Macaca mulatta: one gene and its partners. The protein of the gene in region 1 purifies or fractionates together with the protein of each later gene. This does not show direct contact. Links are inferred from orthologs where the notes say so. Each region holds a gene or a part of one and is shown on either strand. Other genes may lie near its edges.

Region 1 (3,646 bases):
TGGGTCACCTTTCTGCATGCGCAGCATCTTGTCCCCATATTTCTCCCGCAGCTGGAGGTGAATGCTCTCATCAATACGCATGGGGTACATAGTGAGGGCAATGGCCAGCAGCGCATGCATCTGCTCATTCTGCTTGTTAATCTGGGAATGGGGTGGAGAGTTGTACCCGGTCAAATAAGATGGACTTCCTGAGGTCCCCACCGTCAGTCAACTGGCCTCACCATTCTCTGCACAGATCTTTCACTTACCCAGTTGTCTCATACCAGCCACGGAATTTACCCCACCTCTCTTCCAATCCTCCCTCTAGATCTACTTAACTTCCATCCTAGGTCCAGATCCTCCTTAGCCATTTCCTGGATTCCTTACTGGCACCTCTGCCTTAGTCTCTCCAGTTTGTCCCACACATCACTAGCAGGTCAATCCTTTTACACCAGTTAGGATCGAGTTACCCAAAACCTTTGATGCGACTTTGATGCCGACAGAATATAGACTAAACAGTCATGTGCTGTGCAACAACGTTTCAGTCAACAACGGGTCATGGGCTACATATAGGATGGTGATCCTACAAGATTATAATCCTGTATTTTTACTGTATCTTTTCTGTTCAGATACACAAATACCTTGTGTTACAACTGCCTATGTTATTCAGTACAGTAATATGTTCTAGAAGTTTGTAGCCAAGGAGCCATAGGCTATACCATGTAGCCTGGGTATGTAGTAGGTTATCCCATCTAGGTTTGTGTAAGTACACTCTAGGATGTTCACACAACAAAATCACCAAACGGTGCATTTCTCAGAATGTATCTGCAGCATCAAATGACACGGGACTATACTTTACCTGGGTTAATGAAGGTTCTCAGAATCCAATAACCCAATTCCTACTGCCTATTTGCCCTCCAGCCAAAACGGTTTATTGTGCTGCTGCATCACCACACCTTCAAGTCTCAACCACTTTGCTCATGCTATTCTCTGCCTAGGAAGCTCCTCCCAATTCTATGTATGCTTTGAACCCATCCTCCTTCCCATCAATATCCACACCTTATTTTTTTTTTTTTTGAGACGGAGTCTCGCTCTGTCGCCTAGGCTGGAGTGCAGTGGCCGGATCTCGGCTCACTGCAAGCTCCGCCTCCGGGGTTCGCGCCATTCTCCTGCCTCAGCCTCCGGAGTAGCTGGGACTACAGGCGCCCGCCACCTCACCCGGCTAGTTTTTTGTATTTTTTAGTAGAGATGGGGTTTCACCGTGTTAGCCAGGATGGTCTCGATCTCCTGACCTCGTGATCCACCCGTCTCGGCCTCCCAAAGTGCTGGGATTACAGGCGTGAGCCACCACGCCCGGCCCACACCTCATATTAAAACACTCAGAAGCCAGTGAACACTCTGATGTTTGTATTTTTCTTTTTTTTTTGAGACGGAGTCTTGCTCTGTCGCCCAGGCTGGAGTGCAGTGGCCGGATCTCAGCTCATTGCAAGCTCCGCCTCCCGGGTTCACGCCATTCTCCTGCTTCAGCCTACCGAGCAGCTGCGACTACAGGTGCCCGCCACTTCGCCGGGCTAGTTTTTTGTATTTTTTAGTAGAGACAGGGTTTCACTGTGTTAGCCAGGATGGTCTTGATCTCCTGACCTCGTGATCCACCCGTCTCGGCCTCCCAAAGTGCTGGGATTACAGGCTTGAGCCACCGCGCCTGGCCTGATGTTCATATTGATGCTGAATAAATAAATGTAGGCACTGCTGGAGGATATAATTGAAACAAAAGATATTATCATCAAGATGTTAATGATCTGAGATAACAGGCATCACAACAGAAACTCTTAGAGTATGCTAGCCATTAAAACATCATTTTGGCCGGGGGTGGTGGTTCACGCCTATAATCCCAACACTTTGGGAGGCCAAGGTGGATGGATCACCTGAGGTCAGGAGTTCGAGACCAGCCTGGCCAAATGGTGAAACCCCATCTCTACTAAAAATACAAAAATCAGCTGGATGCGATGGCACATGTCTGTAGTCCCAGCTACTCAGGAGGCTAAGGCTGGAGAATCACTTGAACCCAGGAAGCAGAGGTTGCAGTGAGCTGAGACCGCACCACTGCACTCCAGCCTGGGTGACAGAGACTTGGTCTCAAAAAAAAAAAAAATTAGCCGCTGAGCCGCTGTTGTGTCTGTTGTGTGCACTTTTAGACCCAGCTATTGGGAAGGCTGAGATAGGATGATCGCCTGATCCCAGGAGGTTGAGGCTGACGTGAGCTGTGACTGCGTCACTGCACTCCAGCTGGGTGATCTACTAGTAGGCACAATCATCATAGAGCACTCTACAGCCGTGAACTCCTGGCTTAAAATTGCAATATTTTGGATGGTGTTTACCAAGAACGGTTGGCATAGGTGCCAAGGAGCCTTCTGATTAGAAAGGTCATTGGTGGCAGGCAGAGTCCCCCTTACCATCTCATACTTATATGTGGTCCTCTGAAACATGCTCTTGGTCCTCTGGATGTAGAGGAGGATGTTGGCGAAGACCCGGATGGCATCCTGGTAGCGACGCATCATCAAATATGCAAACCCAACATAATAGTATGTGGTGACCTGGCACTCTGGCACGCGGGAATACATACTCTGCAGAAGGAGGTGGAACATACATCCATGAGTCTCAATTCATCCTAGATAGAACCAGAGGTAGAAACACCAAGAGTTTTCCCTGCAGAGCCCTGAACTATCCAGAGGAAGCTCTGCAGTTCCAGAGTTTGAGAGCCCATCTTCCTATTCATCAATTAAGTTGTATGTTTTGAGGAATCCATTTTCTTAGCTGTAACAAGAAGGTTCTGGATCAGGTAATTCCTAAAATCTCTTTCAGCTCCAAAATGCTATACATCTCAGTTTTGTTATTTTTCCTTGTTTTTTCAATTAAGTCCTTTTGGACAGGGAAGACAGAAACACATACACACACATGAACCAAACACCAAATAATCTGTAATATTTTTCTGTGGTTAGGAAGAACACAACAGCTAACCATGTATCAATGAACATACCATCTCAGAATTACATCTTTACTTCTTTTTTTTTTTTCTGGGATGGAATCCTGTTCTGTCACCCAGGCTGGAGTGCTATGGTGTGATCTCGGCTCACTGCAACCTCTGCCTCCCAGGTTCAAGTGATTCTCCTACCTCAGCCTCCTGAGTAGCTGGGATTACAAGTGCCCACCATCACACCCAGCTAGCTTTTTTTTTTTTTTTTTTTTGTATTTTTAGCAGAGACAGGGTTTCACCATGTTGGCCAGGCTGGCCTCGAACTCCTGACCTCGAGCGATCCACTTGCCTCAGCGTCCCAAAGTGCTGGGATTACAGGCGTAAGCCACTGCAACTGGCCTTCTCAATCCTTTAGCAAAACGTGAAGAGTAAAGAACTGCCATGGGCCAGGTGCAGTGGCTCACACCTGTAATCCCAGCACTTCGGGAGGTCAAGGTGGGTGGATCATGAGGTCAGGAGATTGAGACCATCCTGGCCAACACGGTGAAACCCCATCTCTACTAAAATAAAATAAAATAAAAAAATTAGCTGGGCATGGTGGCGCATGCCTGTAGTCCCAGCTACTCAGGAGGCTGAGGCAGGGGAATTGCTTGAACCCAGGAGAAGGAGGTTGCAGTGAGTCGAGATGCGCCA
Region 2 (3,646 bases), on another chromosome or scaffold:
AAAAAAAAAAAAAAAAAAAAAAAAAAAAAAAAAAAACAGGTTTCCAATTAAATTACTTAAAATTCTACAGCGCTCCCATCTTCACAGAGAATTCTACTTGGTTTCGAGGTGGCAGCTGTCCTGGTGGATAGTTTCTCCTTCTCCAGTGATCATCAGTTCAGCAACTTGGACATTTGGGTTCTCCCCGTCCCGCGTCTGCCTGAAGCTTCCACGCCGCCCTGCTGCCTGCACACGGGGCTTTTTACACGTGCGGCCAGCCGGGGTCACGGGGCTGGTGGTGCTCACATGTCCCCGCCATCGGTGGGTCCTAGGACGCTGAGGCCACAAGTCCAGTCGGTCACAAGGTCTGTGGAGGCCAAAGGTCCTTTGGAGGCGGGGCTCTTGAACGGGTCGGGTGGTGCGGGCGGCGTCGGGAGTGGCTGGCCTCGGGCCGGGGTCTTGGCGCCCGCCGCATGGTTGCGCTGGTGCTTGCGGAGGTGGTCCTTGCGGATGAAGCTCTTGCCGCAGACCGTGCAGGTGAAGGGCCGCACGCCCGTGTGCGTTCGGTAGTGGTCGATGAGCTTGGAGCGTTCGGTGAAGCGCTTCTCACACTCGGTGCAGGGGAAGGGACGCTCGCCTGTGTGCAGCATGCGGTGGCGGATGAGGTGCGCAGGGCGTGTGAAGCAGCGGCCGCACTCCCCACACCGCAGGGCGCTGCCATCCCGTGCGCTGCCCCCACCGCTGCCGCTGCCCCCGCCGCCGCCACCGCCGCCGCCGCCGCCGCCACTGCCAGTGCCAGGGGCCGACCCGTCGGGCACCCCGCAGCTGCGCTGGTGCGCGCTCAGGCTGACCTGCAGCTGGAAGCTCTTCCCACACGTGGCACAGGTGAAGGGCCGGCCCCCGGGGGGCGCCGCGGGGTGCTTCTTCAGCCCTGGCTTGTGGCCAAAGCCTTTGGTCCGGCCAGGGTATTTACAGGGTTCGTTGAAGGGCCTCGGGGCCTGGCTGGGGTCCAAGACGGCCTCTCCGTTATCTGAGGAGTAAGGAAGCCCCTCCGGCCCCGTCCTCGGGTTCAGGCCCACTGGCGGTTTACACCGGAAATTCCAGCCCCACCGGACCCCCCCGAAGAGCCAGTCCCCAGGAGGGGTCTCCTCCTGGGCCACAGCAGGGCTGAGCTCACTCATGTCCCTCTCAGGCCGGGCGGGCTCTCGCAGCCCCAGCACAGGGTCCTGGCTGGGGAAGGAGCTGCCCTGGCTTTCCCAGGCTCCTTCCTGGGCAGGACTAGGGAAAAACCGCGTGGCTTGGCCTGGTCCAAACAGGGTCCCGTGAGCCTCTAGGTCAGTAGGATGTACAGGTGTGGCCACCACCTCCTCTTCCTGGACTTCTGTTTTTATTACAATTTTTACATCTGCTGAGAAAGACAAAAAGACAGATACTGACCTGTCCCGTACCTGCTGAGCGAGCCACGATCTGCCACCATCACTGCTCAGCAGCTGCTTGGCCACACGAACTCCACCAAGGCCCTCCTGGCTGAGCCCAGAGGGCAGCTCAGCAGAGCAGCCTGGTGGTTGTGAGGCGGCCTCCCACCGGAGGACACCAGTGTTCTGGCACCTTCACCACAGGAAAAGCCACCAGCATATCTGCTCCCCAGGTTCCATTTTTCAGTGTGGTTGTTAAGGCAAAGCATGAATTGATCCTCAGAAAGGAATTCGGACTGCTGCAGGTACTGTGCCCCACCGCAGTGCAGGGAATGGAGGTTCAGACAGCGCCGCCACACAGCAGCTGTGGGCTGCAGGCAGTTCCTAACCCACAGCTCATCTGTGAATGCCCACTTCACAGGTGTGAGGATTAAACCAGATGACATGTCTGAAAGTGCCTTAGTGAGCTATTTGACATGCAGCAGCATTCAATAAATGGACCCACTAGCTAATGATAAAAATATTACTGAATGTGTTTGATTTTATGTAAGTGTACTTGAACTTCACATTCTGAGGTTTCACATCAGGGATCTTGGCTATTAGCACGTGTTCTGGGTGCTAAAATATGACGTTATTAAAGTAACAGGTGACTGGGCTTTACAACAGAAGTAAACAGAAAGCTAACAGATAAATTTGGTGGCAGTTCTTCTGAAATCGGCTTTCAGACACCTGTCTTTGGTAGTACCAATATCTAAGAAGTGGTTTCAGTTCAGTTTTGTTTTCTTCCATGCCAGAGAGAAGCCACAGTTGCTTAAGCCTGGGGAGGAGGTATATCCTTCAATCGATCAGCTTATTAGAATACACCACTTAACACCATATGAAAAAGCAACAGACTGAAACATGGATGTCCTCAAGAAGGGCTGCGGACGCCTATGATTTGGGAAGGAGATAAAGAACAGAATGTGCAAAGGGTCATAAGAGTGCAGACACCCTAATGTCTATTGGCTGGAAGGTCAGAGCAGTTCACCAGTGAAAATGAGACGCCTGGATGGAGGTACTCCCCACAGGCAAGCATGGCCCTTCCCTTCCTCCTGTTGCCACCCGTACCTTCTGTGGAGGCTGCTGTGTTGAGCTTCAGGGTCCCGTCCGAGCATGCTGAAGAGGGATGGTGGGGAGGGAGATCCGCCTGCCAGGAGGTAGGTGGGATGGTGGTGGAAAAGTTGGAATGGACACCTGTGATAAGGGGAGAACAGAGCCTGTGGGTTAGGGGAGGGATGGGGAGGACAGAAGACTGCTGGGGAGGAGAGCAGGCTAAGCTCTGAGGTCCTCCCCACTGGGGGCTTTTCTGAGTGATCCCGGTTCTTTTGTCCCCCACTCTGAGGCACTGGGAAGCTCAGACATCATCGCTGTGTTTCACACGGGCCCGTCTTGAATAGAGGCAGCCAGTGACTTCAATGCCCAAAGATGGGGCAAGAGGAGCGGCCGCACGGTTATGGAGGGGCCACTGGAACAGGGCCAGAGAGATGCCCAGGAACAGCATCTGCGACCTGAGAGAGGCTCGAGACAAGTCCTTCAGTACAGTCCCACCTTAAAATGGGAAAATTTCTAAAGTTGTCAGGTCGGAAGTGTTGAGGGCCCACAGCTCCCCCATGCTGCCATGAGCCCTCCCCTGTCCCTCCTGTGATCCCTGAAACTCATTCCTTATGTCCCTGTCTCAGCCACTTACCAGAGGTGGCGTCCGTGGAGATGTCTGCTGCGCCGGAATCCAACTGGCTGAGGCCCCAGGGCTCCTCCCCGATATCTGGCTGCCCGGCTGCCCATGCCTCCACGCCCAGGGCCTGCTGCTCCTGGAGCTGGAGCTCACCCTCCTGCTTGATCTGCATCAAGAGGTCTGGGGCAGGAACTGGGGGCCCCGAGCCTAGGAAGGGGAGTGAGTGTGAGGATACAGCATCACGGCCCCAAGAGGTCTGGGGCGGACACGCACCTAGCTGGAGAGGTAGACACAGGGGCCTTACAAGGGTCCAACAGCAAAAGAGCCTGGTGGGAAGGCAGGCAGCAGCAAACAGGATGGGGGCCTAGGGCAGAGCCTGAGGTCACATGGTATTGGGAATGCAGGTAGGGCAGGAAAGGGTGAGGTGGGGGAGGGGAAGAATACACAAGCACATTCTCAGGGCTAGGCTGCCAGTCCAGGGGGAGACTGAGTTGCCCTGGGAATGGCCTGCCCTCACTTGAAACACAGAAATCCTGGACAA
Region 3 (4,160 bases), on another chromosome or scaffold:
GACAGGGACTCCAGGCCACCTTTGGTCTGCTCCTTGGAAGACTCGGCCCTTTTGGAAAGAACTGATACACTCATATACTATCTGGAAGACTCGGCCCTTTTGGAAAGAACTGATACACTATACTATCTGGAAGACTCGGCCCTTTTGGAAAGAACTGATACACTCATATACTATCTGGAAGACTCGGCCCTTTTGGAAAGAACTGACACACTCATATACTATCTTGCACACTGACCCTGAAGGGCAGCTCTTGTCATAACGCACACAACCCACCTGCGTTACCACAACCAGGCGGGCCAGGACAAAGCCTGCTTGCTGAGCCTTAGTCCTCAGGACCAGATGCCTCACCTGTCACTCTGGCCAACACTGCACCTTCAGGGCCACGTGGGACCCCTGAGGACCCACAGTCATCACCCAGCCTGGCCAACCTTGTGGTCATATTAGCATCCACTAACTCTTCCCAATTCCAGAAATAATTTACACATTAGAAATCTGAATTCGATGGGCTCAAATAATACTTTTTAAAAAAATAGCAGAATTTCCAAGGGCTCAAAATAATCATTAAACCAAAAATTTTGATTTTAAACTATAACAACTACTGAAGTGTTAGAAAGAACACTGTTCTGCCGGGCGCGGTGGCTCACGCCTGTAATCCCAGCACTTTGGGAGGACGAGGTGGGCCGATCACAAAGTCAGGAGATCGAGACCACGGTGAAACCCCGTCTCTACTAAAAACACAAAAAATTAGCCGGGCGCGGTGGCGGGTGCCTGTAGTCCCAGCTACTGGGGAGGCTGAGGCAGGAGAATGGCGTGAACCCGGGAGGCGGAGCTTGCAGTGAGCCGAGATCGCGCCACTGCACTCCAGCCTAGGAGACAGGGTGAGACTCCTGGGAGACAGGGCGAGACTCCGTCTCAAAAAAAAAAAAAAGAAAGAACACTGTTCTGAGCAGGAGAGTCTGGTGAGCCACGCAGAGCGAACCCACTGCGAATTCTCAGCAGCCTACTCCACCTTCAGGGACACATTTCCTCAGGACTGAGGGGCGCAGACTAGATGTTCCCAAAGTCTTCATTAGTTTGTGGTGTTCTTCCTGCTTTTCTTGCTAAAATGTCTTCTATGAAAAAAAAAAGTGTAATATAATAATGGCCACAGTAACTGACAGCCTTTTTATTTTTTAATTTTTCACTTTTTGAGACAGGGTCTCACTCTGTCACCCAGGCTGGAGTGCAGCAGTGGGATCTTGGCTCACTGCAACCTCCACTCCTGGGTTCAGGCTATTCTCGTGCCTCAGCCTCCCAAGTACCGGAGACTACAGGTGTGCACCACCACACCTGGCTGATTTTTGTATTTCTGATAGCCTTTTAAAAATACGTTTCAATTATAAGTTGGCAACTCCACGTTATTCCCTAAATTGTCTTGGTGTATATCTGGCTGCGTCAGCAAGGGTATTTTTATTTTTCTCACTCCAGTATTAACTTAGCCAATCCGCAGAGGCTGATGTGTTTCTCAACTTAAAGGCTTAAGAGAGCTAAAAACAAAAGAAAAACAAATGAGACCAGCTCTCATCAGAAGTCACTTTAGGAAAAGAGCTCTCTGAGGCGGAAGCAGAAATATGCCTGTAAATCCAATCAAGGTTGAGACGAAGGCAAAGCAGGCTGTTATCAACAATATTAAAACCTGGAAAAATAACTCGCCTTACAGGTTTAGCAGAGGGGATAAAGGAGAACCAAACTGGAATTTGACAGGGTCTGCCTGTACCACTAGGGAAGTCTCCTGGAGATGGACAATTGTGCGGGGCAGGAGGACAAAATCACCGGCTCTGCGACAACCTGTTCCTCCGATCCAGACCTCGGGAGGTCTGACTGGTCAGCTGGGACACGCAGACCCGCAAACCTGACACCGGGTCTTCGGTTTTTGCTGTAACCCCAGCTGCTACACTCACAGCACACCCAGCCAGAACAGAGTACCCCTGTGCCCTCTCCCACCCTCTCAGATTTCTGGTTGTCATGCAAATCCCTGGCTCACGAAGTTAGCTCCATCCTGTCCCCTTTTTTAGGAAAGAAAAGGGGAGGCGCTGGGGTCTCAGAACGTTTCTAGGGCACTCGGGAACCCCTCCCTCGGTGGCTTTCCAGGAACACACGGACACCCTCGCTGGAACTTCTGCACGAACCAGTGGCACAGCCCGACGACATCTCCCACCTCCGGAACCCCAGTCACGCTCCCGCGAAGCTCGCCAGCCCTGCCCCGGGCGCCCTCACCTTCCTCGCTCACGTCGTCCACGAAGTCCTCGGGGTCGCTGAAGGAGGGCTCGTCCGCGTCGCCGTTCTCCAGCGCCCGGGGCTCGGCCTCGGCCGCGCTGCCCTCGTTTCCTCCCGCGTCCTCGGACGCCGCCTGGGCCCGGCTGTCGGCGCACTCGTCCCGAGCCCGCTCTCCCGGGGCCTCGCCCTGTGCCGGGACAGGGGGCTCAGCGTGCGACCCAGGAGGTTCCTCGGCTGCCGGAGGCGAGAGCGACTCGGACGGGCCGGAGGCCGCCTCTGCCTCGGCCGCCGGCTCGGTCCTCACCTCCGGCTCCGGCCCGGCCTCCGCGACCGCCACCTCCTCACTAGAGGCCTCTGTCCCTGCCGCCTCCGGAGCGCCGGGCCCTGCGGGCCGCAGCAGCCCCTCGTCTGGCGGCGGCTCGGCGGCCGGTTGCTGCTGGCCGGGCTCGGCACGCTCTTCGGCCGCCTCGGGCACCGCCACGTTCTCTGCGTCCTGCATGGGCCCGACACTACCTACTCGCAGGGCTCCGCGGCCGCCGCGCTTCCGACTCTCCCAGGCCGCACCGCGCGCCGCGCCGGCTACAGCTCAGCCATGTGCGTGCGACGGGGAGGCCGTACCAAGGCCGCGGGGCGGGGGGTGTACCCACGCCCTGGAGCCTCACGACGACCCTGAGAGGACTCGCATCCGCAAGCCGCGTCCAGCAAATCACCAAACTGACATTCTTGTGACAAGAAAGTGCTTAATTCCATTCAACAAGGTTGTTTCCGTCCATCACTAAATTCATGGGCGCATTGGCCACCCCATATATGGCAGCGGATGGTTCTGTCCAACATGGCGGCCTCCCCTTTCCTCTCCCGTCGGACGCTGCGAGGCGGGGCTGAACTATTTGTGGCGCCCGAGGCGGGGACCAGAAATGATTTTAGTATCCAGAATGGGATGAAAATGTCCTCTAACTCAACAGTTATTATCATGGAAGAGTGGAGGCTCGACAGGCGATTGCTCAGGGCGTCTCAGCCTTTCGCTAGGCAAACTGTTTAGCTTACGTTACTAAAGACCCCCCTGTCGGTGTCTGACACTTGGACTCGCCTACTGACTGCGCAAAAGGACAGACTACTCCAAAAAGGAGAACAGGAATTCGGGGCGAGCCAGAGGCGGCCCGCACGACTAGAAAGACGACTCCCTGGCGCAATGCAAAAATGTATGCGAGTTGCTTTAATCGCTTACCCCCAGTCCTTCCCTAGCGGCCGTCACCGCCTGTTTCCCCCCATTCGGGCGTTCACAGTGTTTCGGTCCACGCGAGGCCACCGCCCTCCGCGCGGGAGACCGCGGGTCACGTGCGGGCGGGGGCGGGTTCTCGCCGCGTGGGGCGCGAGCCTCTCCGGAGCGGTTGGCTCTGGGCTGCTGTTCACGGGACGGGTATTGGGTGCTTGTGTCTTCTCTTGTTTTTTGCCGGAGTGGAGGACAACCACTAGAAAATAACCCAGTGGATCACGCCTGTTATCCCAAAACTTTGGGAGGCTGAGGCGGGGGGGATCGCTTGAGCTAAGGATTTCGAGACCAGCCTTGCCAACATAGCACCCCCACCCCCGCCAACCCTCATGTATACCAAAAATAAATAAATAAGTAAATAAATAAGTAAAACAAGTGGTACCCAGAGGCTGGGGAGGAGAGTGGGGAGTGTTTATCGGGAACGGACCTTCAGTTTGGGAGGATGAGAACATTTTGGAGATGACGGTGGTGATGGTTGCACAACATGGTGAATGTACCTGATGCCACTGAGCTGTATACTAAACTTCATATTAAAATGGCCACACCCCGCGCGGTGGCTCACACCTGTCTTCCCAGTACTTTGGGAGGCCAAGGCAGGAGGATCGCTTGAGCCTAGGAGTTCAAGACCAGTCAG

The links.
Region 2: the proteins of EIF3L (region 1) and ZNF746 purify together in Homo sapiens (affinity purification with mass spectrometry; 3 studies listed by BioGRID and IntAct, counting the BioPlex papers as one, with this or other methods). This does not show direct contact. The link is inferred for Macaca mulatta from reciprocal best matches to the Homo sapiens genes EIF3L and ZNF746.
Region 3: the proteins of EIF3L (region 1) and EIF3B purify together in Homo sapiens (affinity purification with mass spectrometry; 8 studies listed by BioGRID and IntAct, counting the BioPlex papers as one, with this or other methods). This does not show direct contact. The link is inferred for Macaca mulatta from reciprocal best matches to the Homo sapiens genes EIF3L and EIF3B.

Annotation. Positions count from the first base shown.
Region 1 is NC_133415.1:13,635,339-13,638,984, forward strand, and holds part of EIF3L (eukaryotic translation initiation factor 3 subunit L), read right to left. Parts: intron 2,604-3,646; coding exon 2,433-2,603; intron 142-2,432; coding exon 1-141. UniProt on the Homo sapiens protein: Component of the eukaryotic translation initiation factor 3 (eIF-3) complex, which is required for several steps in the initiation of protein synthesis.
Region 2 is NC_133408.1:189,297,065-189,300,710, forward strand, and holds part of ZNF746 (zinc finger protein 746), read right to left. Parts: intron 3,313-3,646; coding exon 3,121-3,312; intron 2,628-3,120; coding exon 2,502-2,627; intron 1,388-2,501; coding exon 282-1,387; 3' UTR 1-281.
Region 3 is NC_133408.1:36,333,773-36,337,932, reverse strand, and holds the start of EIF3B (eukaryotic translation initiation factor 3 subunit B), read right to left. Parts: upstream 2,810-4,160; 5' UTR 2,756-2,809; coding exon 2,257-2,755; intron 1-2,256.